Macaca fascicularis: one gene and its partners. The protein of the gene in region 2 purifies or fractionates together with the protein of the main gene of each other region. This does not show direct contact. Links are inferred from orthologs where the notes say so. Each region holds a gene or a part of one and is shown on either strand. Other genes may lie near its edges.

Region 1 (4,095 bases), on a different chromosome or scaffold from region 2:
ACATTATAACATCAGGTAGTGCTAGGAGCTACAAAGTATAACAAAGTAGGATGGGGTAAAGATAGTGATGCAAGGAAGGCCAGAGTAGTGAGAATTTTATTTTGGATCAGGATGCCCTCTCTGAAGGGAAGGTGACATTTGAAAAAACACCTGAAAGGAATAAGCTAAGCAAACATGTGTGAGAAGAGTTCAGGGCAAAAGAAACAACTGATGAAAAGGCAGTGAGGCACATGCTGGAGATTACCAGGAGAATATGAGTGAGGCAGTAGAAAAACGAAATACGAGAAGAATCAGATCAAGGGCCCATGGTAAGCAGTTTAGATTTTATTATGAAAGTGATGGGATGTCTCTAAAGAGCATGACCTCATGTTTGCATGTTTGCCTTTTAAAAAGCCTTTTACTGTATGTCTTACTGCTTTTACTATTCCCTCCTAAAGAATGGACTCTAGGAGGCAACAGTAAAAGCAGTAAGACATTTAAGAAGATGGGGTTGGCTGGGCACAGTGGCTCACACCTATATTCCCAGCATTTTGGGAGGCAGAAGTGGGAGGATCATTTGAGCTCAGGAGATTGAGAACAGCCTGGGCAACACAGAGAGACTCTGTCTCTACAAAAATTTTTTAAAAAATTAGCCAGGGATGGCGGCACATGCCTGTGGTCCCAGCTACTCAGGAGGCTGAGGTAAGAGGACTGCTTGCGCTCGGGAGGTCAAGGCTGCAGTGAGCCATGATTGCGCCACTGCACTCCAGCCTGGGTGACAAAGTGACACTCCGTATCCAAAAAAAAAAAAAAAAAAAAAAAAAGATGGGGTTTAATAAAGTGGAAAGGATCTTGACACGTGAGATATTCTGGATAAGTTGGCACAATCAAATACGATAAGGCTCGAGAGTCATCTGCTTGGGGATTAAAGTTCTGACAGTTGATGTAATCTCAAATTGGAGAGTCTATAGAGACAGGGAGAGATGAGAAGGTGTATATTTCGAGGTACGAAGAAGCAGCAGACTCAGTGAGGGAAAACTAGATGGGACCCAAAATATGACTTGAGAGAAGCCAAAAGTGCAGAGCCTCATAAAGCAGATGTCAAATGCTACAGAATGATTGAGGAGATGGTGAGAATAAACCAAAGAATTTTACAAGATAGCAATTTCAGGAAGTTTAGACATCTGGATTCAGAGCTATAAAAGGGTTCATTTTTTATTACAAAGTTTTAATTAGTTTTCTTATTTCCCAAATGGGATCCCAAAAACTTGACTCTGCATTAACTGAAAAGGAGGTCATCCAGGTGGGCCTGGTCTAATCACACAAGCCTTTTAAATCTGGGTCTAGAGAGGAAAGACCGAAATAAAAGAAATTTGGAAGTTAGAGAGGCAAGATCCTGGTAGCCTGCACGAAAGCAGCCATCCATGTTATGAATGGCCTCTGGAAGCCTTGAGGCAAGGAACTGTGGGTAGGCTGTAGAAGCTGGGAGCAGTGGCTGACAAGAGGCAGCAAGAAAAAAGGGACTTCAGTCGTGTAACTGCAACGGACTGAATTCTGCCCACAAACTGCATTAGCCTGGAAGAGGACCCAGATCTCCAAATGAGAACCACAGCATGGCTAATACTTTGCAGCCTTGTGTGACCTGGAGGGGAGAACACAGATCATCCATGACCAGGCTTCTATCCTACAGAACCCGTAAGGTTCTGCTAAATTTGTGGTTGTTACGTACAATAGAAAACTAACGTAGGTTCGTTCCACTTTCCTATGGAAGGGGTTGCTTCTGTTACCTAGCAGCAAATAGGAAGAGAAGCGAACTTGAAAAAACAAAGCTTGACTTTTATGATCTCTAACTCACTCTTCCTAGGGATTCTGTTCACTTACTGCTTTAGTCACAGTACTTGTTTTGCTATCTACAACATTTTGCCAAAATATCAACTTTCTGATAATCGTGAGCAATGGAAACAGGCTTTTTTATTTTCAATTTTAGAAAGTAACTTTGGCAATTACGCAAAACTAAAAGTAACTGGGTATTTAGGCTTCTTGAATGTCAAAGTAGTCCCAGCGCCTGGAGACACAGATCCCTGTCCTAATCTCAGAAATGAGCCACAAGGTCATGACTCCTGTCTTTCCTTGAAGACCAGGAGTTTCAACTCCACAAAGGAAAATCTTTCGCTTTTGTTTGGATTAAGAATAGTGCATAAGTGTTCCCAGCTGCGAAAAGAAAGGCAGTCCCTCACAGATAATTACAACCTTGACCCCTAAAATGTGGACACTCGCTAGAAGTCCAGGCACCTCCTTATTAAGGATGCAACAAGCCGCGGCTCCGCTCGTCCTGCCGGGAACTGTAGTTCTCCCCCGTCGACCTTCAGCACTAAAAACCTATCGCGCGCCCAACCGGCGACACAGACGCCAGCAGTCAGGATTGGTCCTGGACGGGGGCAGCGCGGCGCTGATTGGACTGCACGCCCTCGAAGCCGCGCCTCCCGCTACTCTCCACACCTCACCCCGCTGCTGCAATAACCTCAAGTCATCCCAGTCTGGCGAACTCCCTGGTGGCTGCCTCGTTGCCAGCCCGGGCCTCTCCCGACGAGGGTAGCCCAGAGACTCGCCTTTGTCCTGGAGGCTAGGCAGGGCCCAAGGCTCCCCCATTTTTCGCTGGCGGTCCTAGGTCAGCCTCCTCACGCGCCCTCGGATGCCCCAGTGCTCACCTGGGCGGCAGCGGTCACACCCGATAACTGACAGGCCCGCAGCATCTCGGTCGAGCGGACGGCACTGCTGCTGGACTCGGGAGCTGCCAAGGCGGCGCGAGTTAAGTGGACGCGTGCTTGCGTGTGTGCGTACCCGCGTCCGCGCCCGGCGCACCGGAAGCGCAGCCGATGCCACTGCGCACGCGCGGCCCCTTCTGCCCGCAGCAACTCGGCGGCTCTTAGAGGGTGGGCTCTGTCCCGGCTGCGGAAACGCCAACGCCGGGCGATTGGTGCGCAGGAGGCGAAAAGGGCGGATTCCTTTTCCGGGTCGCGCTCGGGCTGCAGGTCCTTAGCCCGGAGCTGGGGTTACTAGGTGAACGCGGCTGGAAGGAGAGCGTTCTGAAATCCAGTCTTCAGACTCACGTGGAAAATGGACATCTGTGGCTCTTCAGAGAATTAAAGCAAAAAAGAATCTCACCTGGCTCTGTGAGCTAGATATTTCGTAGGAAGGAGCCTATTTGGCGAAAGTTACGTAAACAATGCAGTTGTCACAGGTTGCGCGTTTGTTTCGTCTGACGGCCCTTCAGGGAGTCATCCTGATTGCTGGAAACGGTGAACGAACACTGTAGGGACCCTTGTGTGGAACGTGTCAAGTGGCACAACAAGGATAGGAACACGGGTCCTTTGGACTCCACAGCTTCTGCTCTTCCAGATTAAACCACACTGCGTTCTCCAAGTTTTTACTGTAGTAATATCATTTTGGCTGCAATTTGTGGATGGGTTGGAAGATGGGAAGTCAGCGCAGAAGCACCGTTAAAAGTATTCCACTGGGCCGGGCACGGTGGCTCACCCCTGTAATACCAGCACTTTGGGAGGCCGAGGCGGGCGGGTCGCCTGAGGTCAGGAATTCGAGACCAGCCTGGCCAAAATAGTGAAACCCCGTCTTTACTAAAAAATACAGAAATTTAGCTGGGCATGCTGGCGGGTGCCTGTAATCCCAGCTACTCGGGAGGCTGAGGCAGGAGAATTGCTTGACCCCGGGGCGGGGCGGGGCGGGGGCGGAGGTTGCAGTGAGCTGAGATCATGCCATTGCACTACAGCCTAGGCAACAAGAGCTAAGCTCCGTATCAAAAAAAAAAAAAAAAAAAAAAAAAAAGTATTCCATTGATTCGATAATCAAAATAAAACGTTAAATATTAAGCATGGTATTAATACTCCATGTATGCTCCAGAATTAATACGTTAGTATTAATATTATTAACATCTTATTGCAATATCGTGGAAACTAACTTTTCTATCTTGTACTGAGTTTGCAAAGTATTCCAAGTCTTAACTGGGTAATTTATTACAGTATGTATTCTCTGTAGAGGTAGGCTGCGCTATGACTTGTAACATGGAGAGAGAGACTTGAAAATTATCTAAAATCAAAG
Region 2 (3,649 bases):
ATGCTTCTAATCTCAGTGCTTTGGGAGGCCGAGGTGGGAGGACTGCTTGAATCCAAGAGCTTGAGACCAGCCTAGGCAACATAGAGAGACCTTTTCTCTAAAAAAACTAAAAAATGAGCCAGACATGTTGGCACATGCCTGTAATGCTAGTTTTTCAGGAGGCTGAGGGAGGAGGACTGCTTGAGCCCAGGAGTTCAAGGCTGCAGTGAACTATGATTGGGCTATTGCACTCTAACCTGGGCAACAGAACAAAACCTCGTCTCTAAAAAAAAAAAAGTAAAATAAAATAGGCCAGGTGCGGTGGCTCACACCTGTAATCCCAGCACTTTGGGAGGCTGAGGCAGGTGGATCACCTGAGGTCAGGAGTTTGAGATCAGCCTGAGCAACATGGTGAAACCGTCTCTACTAAAAATACAAAAATAACTGGGCATGGTGGCATATGCCTGTAGTCCCATCTACTCGGGAGGCTGAGACAGGAGAATCGCTTGAACCCAGGAGGCAGAGGCTGCAGGGAGCCAAGATCACGCCACAGAACTCCAGCCTGGACAACAGAGCAAGACTCTGTCTCAAAAATAAATAAATCAAAAATAAATAAATAAAAAAAATAAACTCCGTATACTCCATTCTAGGACTCCTTCAGCTCTATCTTCCCCTGGAAGAAAGGTATTATTTACCCTCCACCAGTTCTTTTATCTGAGCTCACAAAGACATCACTGCCCCCACCATATAGGAAACGAAGACACTGCTGTTGTTCTACAAGGCACAGGGATACACAGTTCTAGAAGTGTGACATCATGGCAGCAGCAGAGACGACAGGAAGCAGAGGCTGGCTGGGGGATCCGTCTCTGGCATATGTCAATCAACCTGATGATGAGGCAGTCTGTCATTCTCTGGGACAATGGAATGATCCTTAAGTCTGTAAGTGTTTCGGTCCACTGACCAACTCTCCCTGAAAGCACTTTCTCTGCGGCCTTGTGGCATAGGTGAGGGAGGTGTGAGGCCTGGATGGTGCAGCCTGGCCGGGGCTGGGACAAGGGTCCGCCCCCGCAATCCCACCTCTTCCCACCTGCACACTGCCTGGGCTTCACGCCAGTGCTGCACCTGCCCTTGATGTACGCAGTGACCTTGTAGGACAGACAAGACAGTGCCAACCGCCGTGATAAAAAGAACACAGTTCTAGTCTCCTAAGTCAACAAAGACCACCAAAGAGGAGCTGCTGTCTCTCATATTTACCATCTTGGTGTGAGATTACGGAACAGCTTGAGACCAAATAAAGGTCCCTGCAGGTCTCCGGCTCCAAATTCCAACTGTTTGAAAAGGAAAAAGAGAAGGCGTTAGTGGTGTTTTATCTCATAGCAGCAACCCAGGCTCAGGTATGTACCTCTGGGTATAATTCCTTCATTCAATTCACTGGTCTTGCCAGGGCTCTAAAAGAAGGGGGTAGAAGATTGTTAATGTCTCATCTTAACCTTAGCCAAATGGAAATGTCTGCTGCCACAGATCCAAAGGAGACCCAGGTTTCAATGGCACATGTTTCACTGGTGTCCCTCCAAAGAAAAAAACTGCTCACCTCTGATCCTTGCCTCCCAGGCTGAGGTCAGGAGACCAGCCAGCTCCCCACCGCTCCCAGCGCAGCGCCCCCACCTGCAGAGCGCCTGCTGCGGTCAGGTGTGCGCCCCCCACCCCCCCGCCCCTCCGCATGCACTGCTGACTCCTTTTTATTTTCATCCTGAGCCAAATGTCTCCCAGGTGACTGGGGTGGTCCTCAGGGGTCTGACGTTAAAAGCCCAGCAGCAGTTCCACACTCGCATAGCCTTGGAAGTCACAGCTGAGCCTGGCTGCCGTGTTTACTAGTCTGGGTGACTTTCAAGCAACTCTTCAATGTTAATTTGATGCAGCTCAATTTGCTCGGCAGAACTGGCTGTTAAATGGCCACCAATCAGTGAACCATCGCACTGGAGAGAGCACCTGCCTTCTGAATTGTGCAGGAAAAAGAGCCCACAGGCTTTTTGCTCAAGGGAACACTGAGTTTCAGAGGCTGGATTTCTAGAAGTTGCTGTCTCATAGGAAACCTGAGGAAGACTGACAGGACTTCTCAGATATAAGACCTATTTATCTTTTTTTTTTTGAGATGGAATTTTGCTCTTGTCCCCCAGACTGGAGTGCAATGGTGCGATCTCGACTCACTGCAACCCCCGCCTCCCGGGTTCATGTGATTCTCCTGCCTCAGACTCCCGAACAGCTGGGATTACAGGCAGGCGCCACCACGCCCAGCTAATTTTTGTATTTTTAGTAGAGACGGGGTTTCACCATGTTGGCCAGGCTTATGAAACCTATTTTTCTTTTAGGACCAGTCAACTGATGGAAGTTTGACACTTGGTACCATTTTACAACAACAGGGCCCCCTGGGTGAGTTTGAGGGTGCGCTTTGAGAGTGTAAATGTTCAGAAATAAGACTTTGCATGGACAACACAACTCAGCCAACAGACATTCTCACCTCTCCCCATCCCTTTGCCGAAGTTACTCGTCTGAGCGCAAAGTTAATGGAACCTCCTCCATTTCCATTCTGGGTTGAGAGGCTTCCAGAGAGGATGGCTGTGTCTGTCGCTGTCAAGGGTGCCTAAAAATGATATTTGCTGGTAATGAATGAATCAAAACAACAGGAAGTGCCAGTGGCAGCAGCCTAAAGAACGCACTGTGAGTCCAAGGCCAAAGGTGCAGACGACTCCTCTGTTCAGAAGCACACGTGGATGCAGAACTGCCGCAGCAGCTTGACTTTTCTTTCGCTTTGTTATTTGGTCTGCATGTGACCACAAGGATAATCTGCTTTGCAAAAGCTTTAATGGGCAAATTTCACACCACCAGGGGAAACAGGGGCTGCCTGTCCCAGCGGTATCAGCACAGGGTGCTTCGCTGTGCGCCTTCCCTCACGGTACACCTGGGGCCTCTCCTGTCCTTGCTTGCCATCAGGGTTCTGGGGGGACTGGAGACTTTTCCATGGCTGTATTCTGTATCAGCTGACTCAGGGAGCTCCAAGAGGGGGCAACTTTCCCCAAGTTAGGACTCCATGTTGTTGGCTGATGCAACGGAGAATAAATTAATGAGCTGAGGAGACAAAGATCTACTATAAACACTCAGGAGAATGGCCTGACCTTGCCACATTCAAATAGTGGGCAGAATGGTGACATTTTCGTGTGCCCAGGGCTCAGGATGGGACCTGCTATAGCCTTGCGGCACGTAGCAGAATTTGCCTTAAAACTAAAATCAGTGGTTAGAATGATCCATGGAGGTCTGCTTTCTCTCCCAGAACCCCATGACCTTGGGCCTCTACTTCTCCCAGACCATTAACACCCTCTGCTGGAAAGGCCCAAGACCTTGGCAGCCAAGTGCCCCAGCCCACACTCCTGCTGGCTCACATGCCAGCACGGCGGTCACACACGGCTGGGACTGAAGCGCTTTCTTTTTTAAGTGGCTAATTGCATCCTTTCATAAATAAAGATGAGAAAAACCCTGGACAGACTCTCGTTCCAGCTGCTTGGTGTGCTGTGCCTCATTAACTCGAGCCCTTGCAGTACTCGGAGAGGTGGTTGTGTGCTTTACCTCAATGGACTGGGATATGTGCATTTTATTAATTTCAATCTGCGGAAAG
Region 3 (3,649 bases), on a different chromosome or scaffold from region 2:
AGGCATGCTGACGTGCACCTGTAATCTCAGCTGTTAGGGAGGCTGAGGCAGAAGAAACACTTGAACCCGGGAGGCAGAGGTTGCAGTGAGCTGAGATTGTGCCACTGCACTCCAGCCTGGGTGACAGAGTAAGACTCCGTCTCAAAAAAAAAAAAGGTGTTTTTAAATTTTTAATCTCTTTAAAAGATAATTGACTGTTTAAAGCAAAAATATATACACTGTAGGTTTTTAAACATGTAGAAGTAAAATGTATGACAAAAATAGCACAAAAGATGGGAGGAAGAAATGGAAATATACTCTTGTGCGATTCTTACACTACATGTTAAGGGTAGGATTCATTTAAAGGTAGGCTGTAATAAGTTAAAGATGCATATTGTAAAACCTACAGCAACCACTAAATAAAATAAAAACAAAAGTGTACACTAATAAGCTAACAGTGACAAAAAAAAGGAAATCACAAAAACAAAACAACACACCTGATGGCCAGGCGTGGTGGCTCATGCCTATAATCTCAGCACTTTGAGAGGCCAAGATGGGCAGATCGCCTGAGGTCATGAGTTCGAGACTAGCTTGGCCAACGTGGTGAAAAACCATCTCTACTAAAAATATAAAAATTAGCCATGTGTGATGGTGCGGGTCTGTAATTCTAGCTATTCAGAAGGCTGAGGGAGAAGAATCACTTGAACCTAGGAGGCGGAGGTTGCAGTGAGCCAAGATCGCGCCATTGCTTTCTAGCCTGGGCGGCAAGAGCAAAACTCTGTCTCAAAAACAGAAAAAACAACAACAACAAAATCTTTTCTTCAGCCTCTTGGCAACTTTCACCCATAGATCCCTCTCCTTAGCTCAGTCCCTCCATGACTTTATACTTCCCTTCCTTATTCAGCCTAGTACCTACTGTATATCATTTCAAACAATCCTGCCAAGACCCTAAACTCCCTTGCACAATCATTCTGCCCAACTTAACCTGGCCAAGTAACAACTCTGCACAAATCCAACTACTTGGCTCTCCGAGCCTATAGTAGGCCTGAATCATACCGATTCAGTATTACCAAACTAATCAGCCCCTCAACACTGCTGAACTACTTTATTATTAGCAAATCTTTCCTATTTTCTGCAATTATGAGAGTCTTCCCCTCAAACCTCTCCCATTCTAGTAGCCCTTGCCCTCTGAATTTAGACATGTTCTAGTCTATTTAAAAAAAAAAAAAAAAAAAGACTTCCTTTAGCCCCAAGTCCCTATCTATAGACCAACCCCCTCTTTCTTCTCATCCTTATTGCATTTCTTATTGAAATAGAACCCAGACTGGGGGCTGTGCCATTTTTCCCATTTGTTACTACTGTTCTTTTATACCAATGTCTTTTTTGACTGCTAAACTTCATTCTGTAAAGGCAAAATAGAAAAACTTTTCCAAAAGGAAAAGCCTATATGCCTTCTGTACAAACTTATGAAATTAGACTAAATGGGGAATTTATCATGAGTCCTTAAGTAAAGGACAATAGATTAAATTTCCATAACATTAATTTCCCATAACATTAATTTTAACAACTTTTTTTTTTTTAATGGAGTTTCACTCTTGCTGCCCACGCTGGAATGCAACGGCACAATCTTGGCTCACTGCAACCTCTGCCTCCTGGATTCAAGGGATTCTCCTGCCTCAGCCTCCTGAGTAGCTGGGATTTCAGGTACCCACCACCACGCCCGGCTAATTTTTTTGTATTTTTAGTAGAGACGGGGTTTTACCATGTTGGCCAAGCTAGTGTCAAACTCCTGACCTCAGGTGATCCACCCACCTCGGCCTCCCAAAGTGCTGGGATTACAGGCGTGAGCCACCATGCTTGGCCCTATTCATATGCAAAATATATAGGCATTTTTGCCAGAATAGGCAAATATAAACATACAAAAAGTAGATTAATAGTTTGCTTAGGGATAGGGAGTTGGGGGGTCTGGGAAGCAATAGGTAAAAAGTTGTGGTGGTCCAGGCACAGTGGCTCACATCTGTAATCTAAGCACTTTGAGAGGTCGAGGTAGAAGAATCACCTGAGGCCAGGAGTTTGAGACGAGCCTAGCTAACACAGCTACATCCTATCGCTACTAAAAAAAAAAAAATTTAGTTACAAAAAATAAATAAAAATAAAAAGTTGTGGTGATGGTGACACAACGCTGTGAATATACTAGAACTACTTAATTGTATACTTTAAATGAGTGAATTGTATGATGCTGTGTGCTTACATCTTAAAAAGCTGTTATAAAATAAAAACAAAGTAAGTGCCTCTTTGGGTGTCTATGTGTATGATATGATCCAATCCTCAAGATTGTTAAATGAAAAGGAAGTGGTAGAACATTCCATGCATGGAGTATGCTACAGTTTGTATTAAAGAATAAAAATAGGGCCAGCCATGGTGACTCACAGCTGTAATCCCAACATTTTGGAAGGTAAAAGTGGAAGGATCACTTGAGCCCAGGAGTTTGAGACCAGCCTGGCCAACATAGCGAAATCCTATCTCTACAAAAATATCAAAAATGTGCCTGGCATGGTGGTATGCATCTATCATCCCAGCTACTCAGGAGGCTGAGGTGGGGGAGGATGGTTTAAATCCAGGAGGTGGAGACTGCAGTGAACTAAGATCCTGCCACATTGTACTCCAGGCCTGGATGACAGAGGGAGACTCTGTCTCAAACAAACAAACAAACAAAAGAATAAAAACAATGTAGCATGTTACTATTGGTGTAAACAGACCACACATACATATGTTTGTACATACATAAATACAAACTATTAATTGCTCTCTTTCAGTTTTTTTACCATGTCATCTAGCACTTTTTCCAAATTATCTCCTTAATTGCAAAAATAAAACAGAGATTGAAATTACTAAAGGTAACTTACAAGCAAAGCAGAGTGGACGACTGGAGGGTTGGGATGGTCCATAAATAAAATAAGGCCAGGCAGACATCCCTGATCCTGGACGATGGCTCTTCTGTTTAATGGATCTGCTGCTAGATCCCGTAACTGGTTAACTACTGATAGAGCATCAGGCTCTTCACTCATGGTGGAGGTGGAAGAATTCATCTTCTATGCCATGCACATGAATAAAACCTTAAATTCTGTAGAAAAGGTTTGCAGAATTAGTTCTAAGTTGCTGAGGTATATTATGGCACTTGTGAAATAACCAGGATTACAACACGTTTAGAAAGAATCAGGTAACTACAACTAAATCACACAAAAACTTAGAAATCAGCAACTCTACAGTTTGAGAAAAGTAAAATGAACATAAGATGACTGAAAAAACTTGGGTGCACAATATTTAAAGAACATATGTTAACCTCCATATTCCAACAAATTACTTTTTAGCATACATATTTTAACAATAAAGTCACAATAAACATCTCTATAGTTCAAGCTTGTAACCTTTGCTATACTTCTAAAACTTAATATTGCCAGTGCTTTTTTTCCTCTGGACTATTTCTACCCCTAAAACTAGTGCCTGAGGGAAGAGTGGCTAGCTTACAGCTTGCTTATTCATCAATGAACAAAAACCTAGCATACTCTGTCTACAAAGAATAAAATGCCCTTGGAAAACGGAGGCAGAAGTCTGTAAATCAAGAAGACAGGAAAGGTATTTAGCCTGCAGCTCAGGCCAGTAGTGTGAA

Evidence for each region.
Region 1: the proteins of DNAJC11 (region 2) and IMMT purify together in Homo sapiens (co-immunoprecipitation; 3 studies listed by BioGRID and IntAct, with this or other methods). This does not show direct contact. The link is inferred for Macaca fascicularis from reciprocal best matches to the Homo sapiens genes DNAJC11 and IMMT.
Region 3: the proteins of DNAJC11 (region 2) and ARMC1 purify together in Homo sapiens (affinity purification with mass spectrometry; 4 studies listed by BioGRID and IntAct, counting the BioPlex papers as one, with this or other methods). This does not show direct contact. The link is inferred for Macaca fascicularis from reciprocal best matches to the Homo sapiens genes DNAJC11 and ARMC1.

The regions. Positions count from the first base shown.
Region 1 is NC_088387.1:35,382,672-35,386,766, reverse strand, and holds the start of IMMT (MICOS complex subunit MIC60), read right to left. Parts: upstream 2,815-4,095; 5' UTR 2,733-2,814; coding exon 2,688-2,732; intron 1-2,687. UniProt on the Homo sapiens protein: Component of the MICOS complex, a large protein complex of the mitochondrial inner membrane that plays crucial roles in the maintenance of crista junctions, inner membrane architecture, and formation of contact sites to the outer membrane.
Region 2 is NC_088375.1:228,219,046-228,222,694, reverse strand, and holds part of DNAJC11 (dnaJ homolog subfamily C member 11), read right to left. Parts: coding exon 3,601-3,649; intron 2,621-3,600; coding exon 2,498-2,620; intron 1,308-2,497; coding exon 1,234-1,307; intron 1-1,233.
Region 3 is NC_088382.1:75,597,049-75,600,697, forward strand, and holds part of ARMC1 (armadillo repeat-containing protein 1), read right to left. Parts: intron 3,104-3,649; 5' UTR 3,069-3,103; coding exon 2,886-3,068; intron 1-2,885.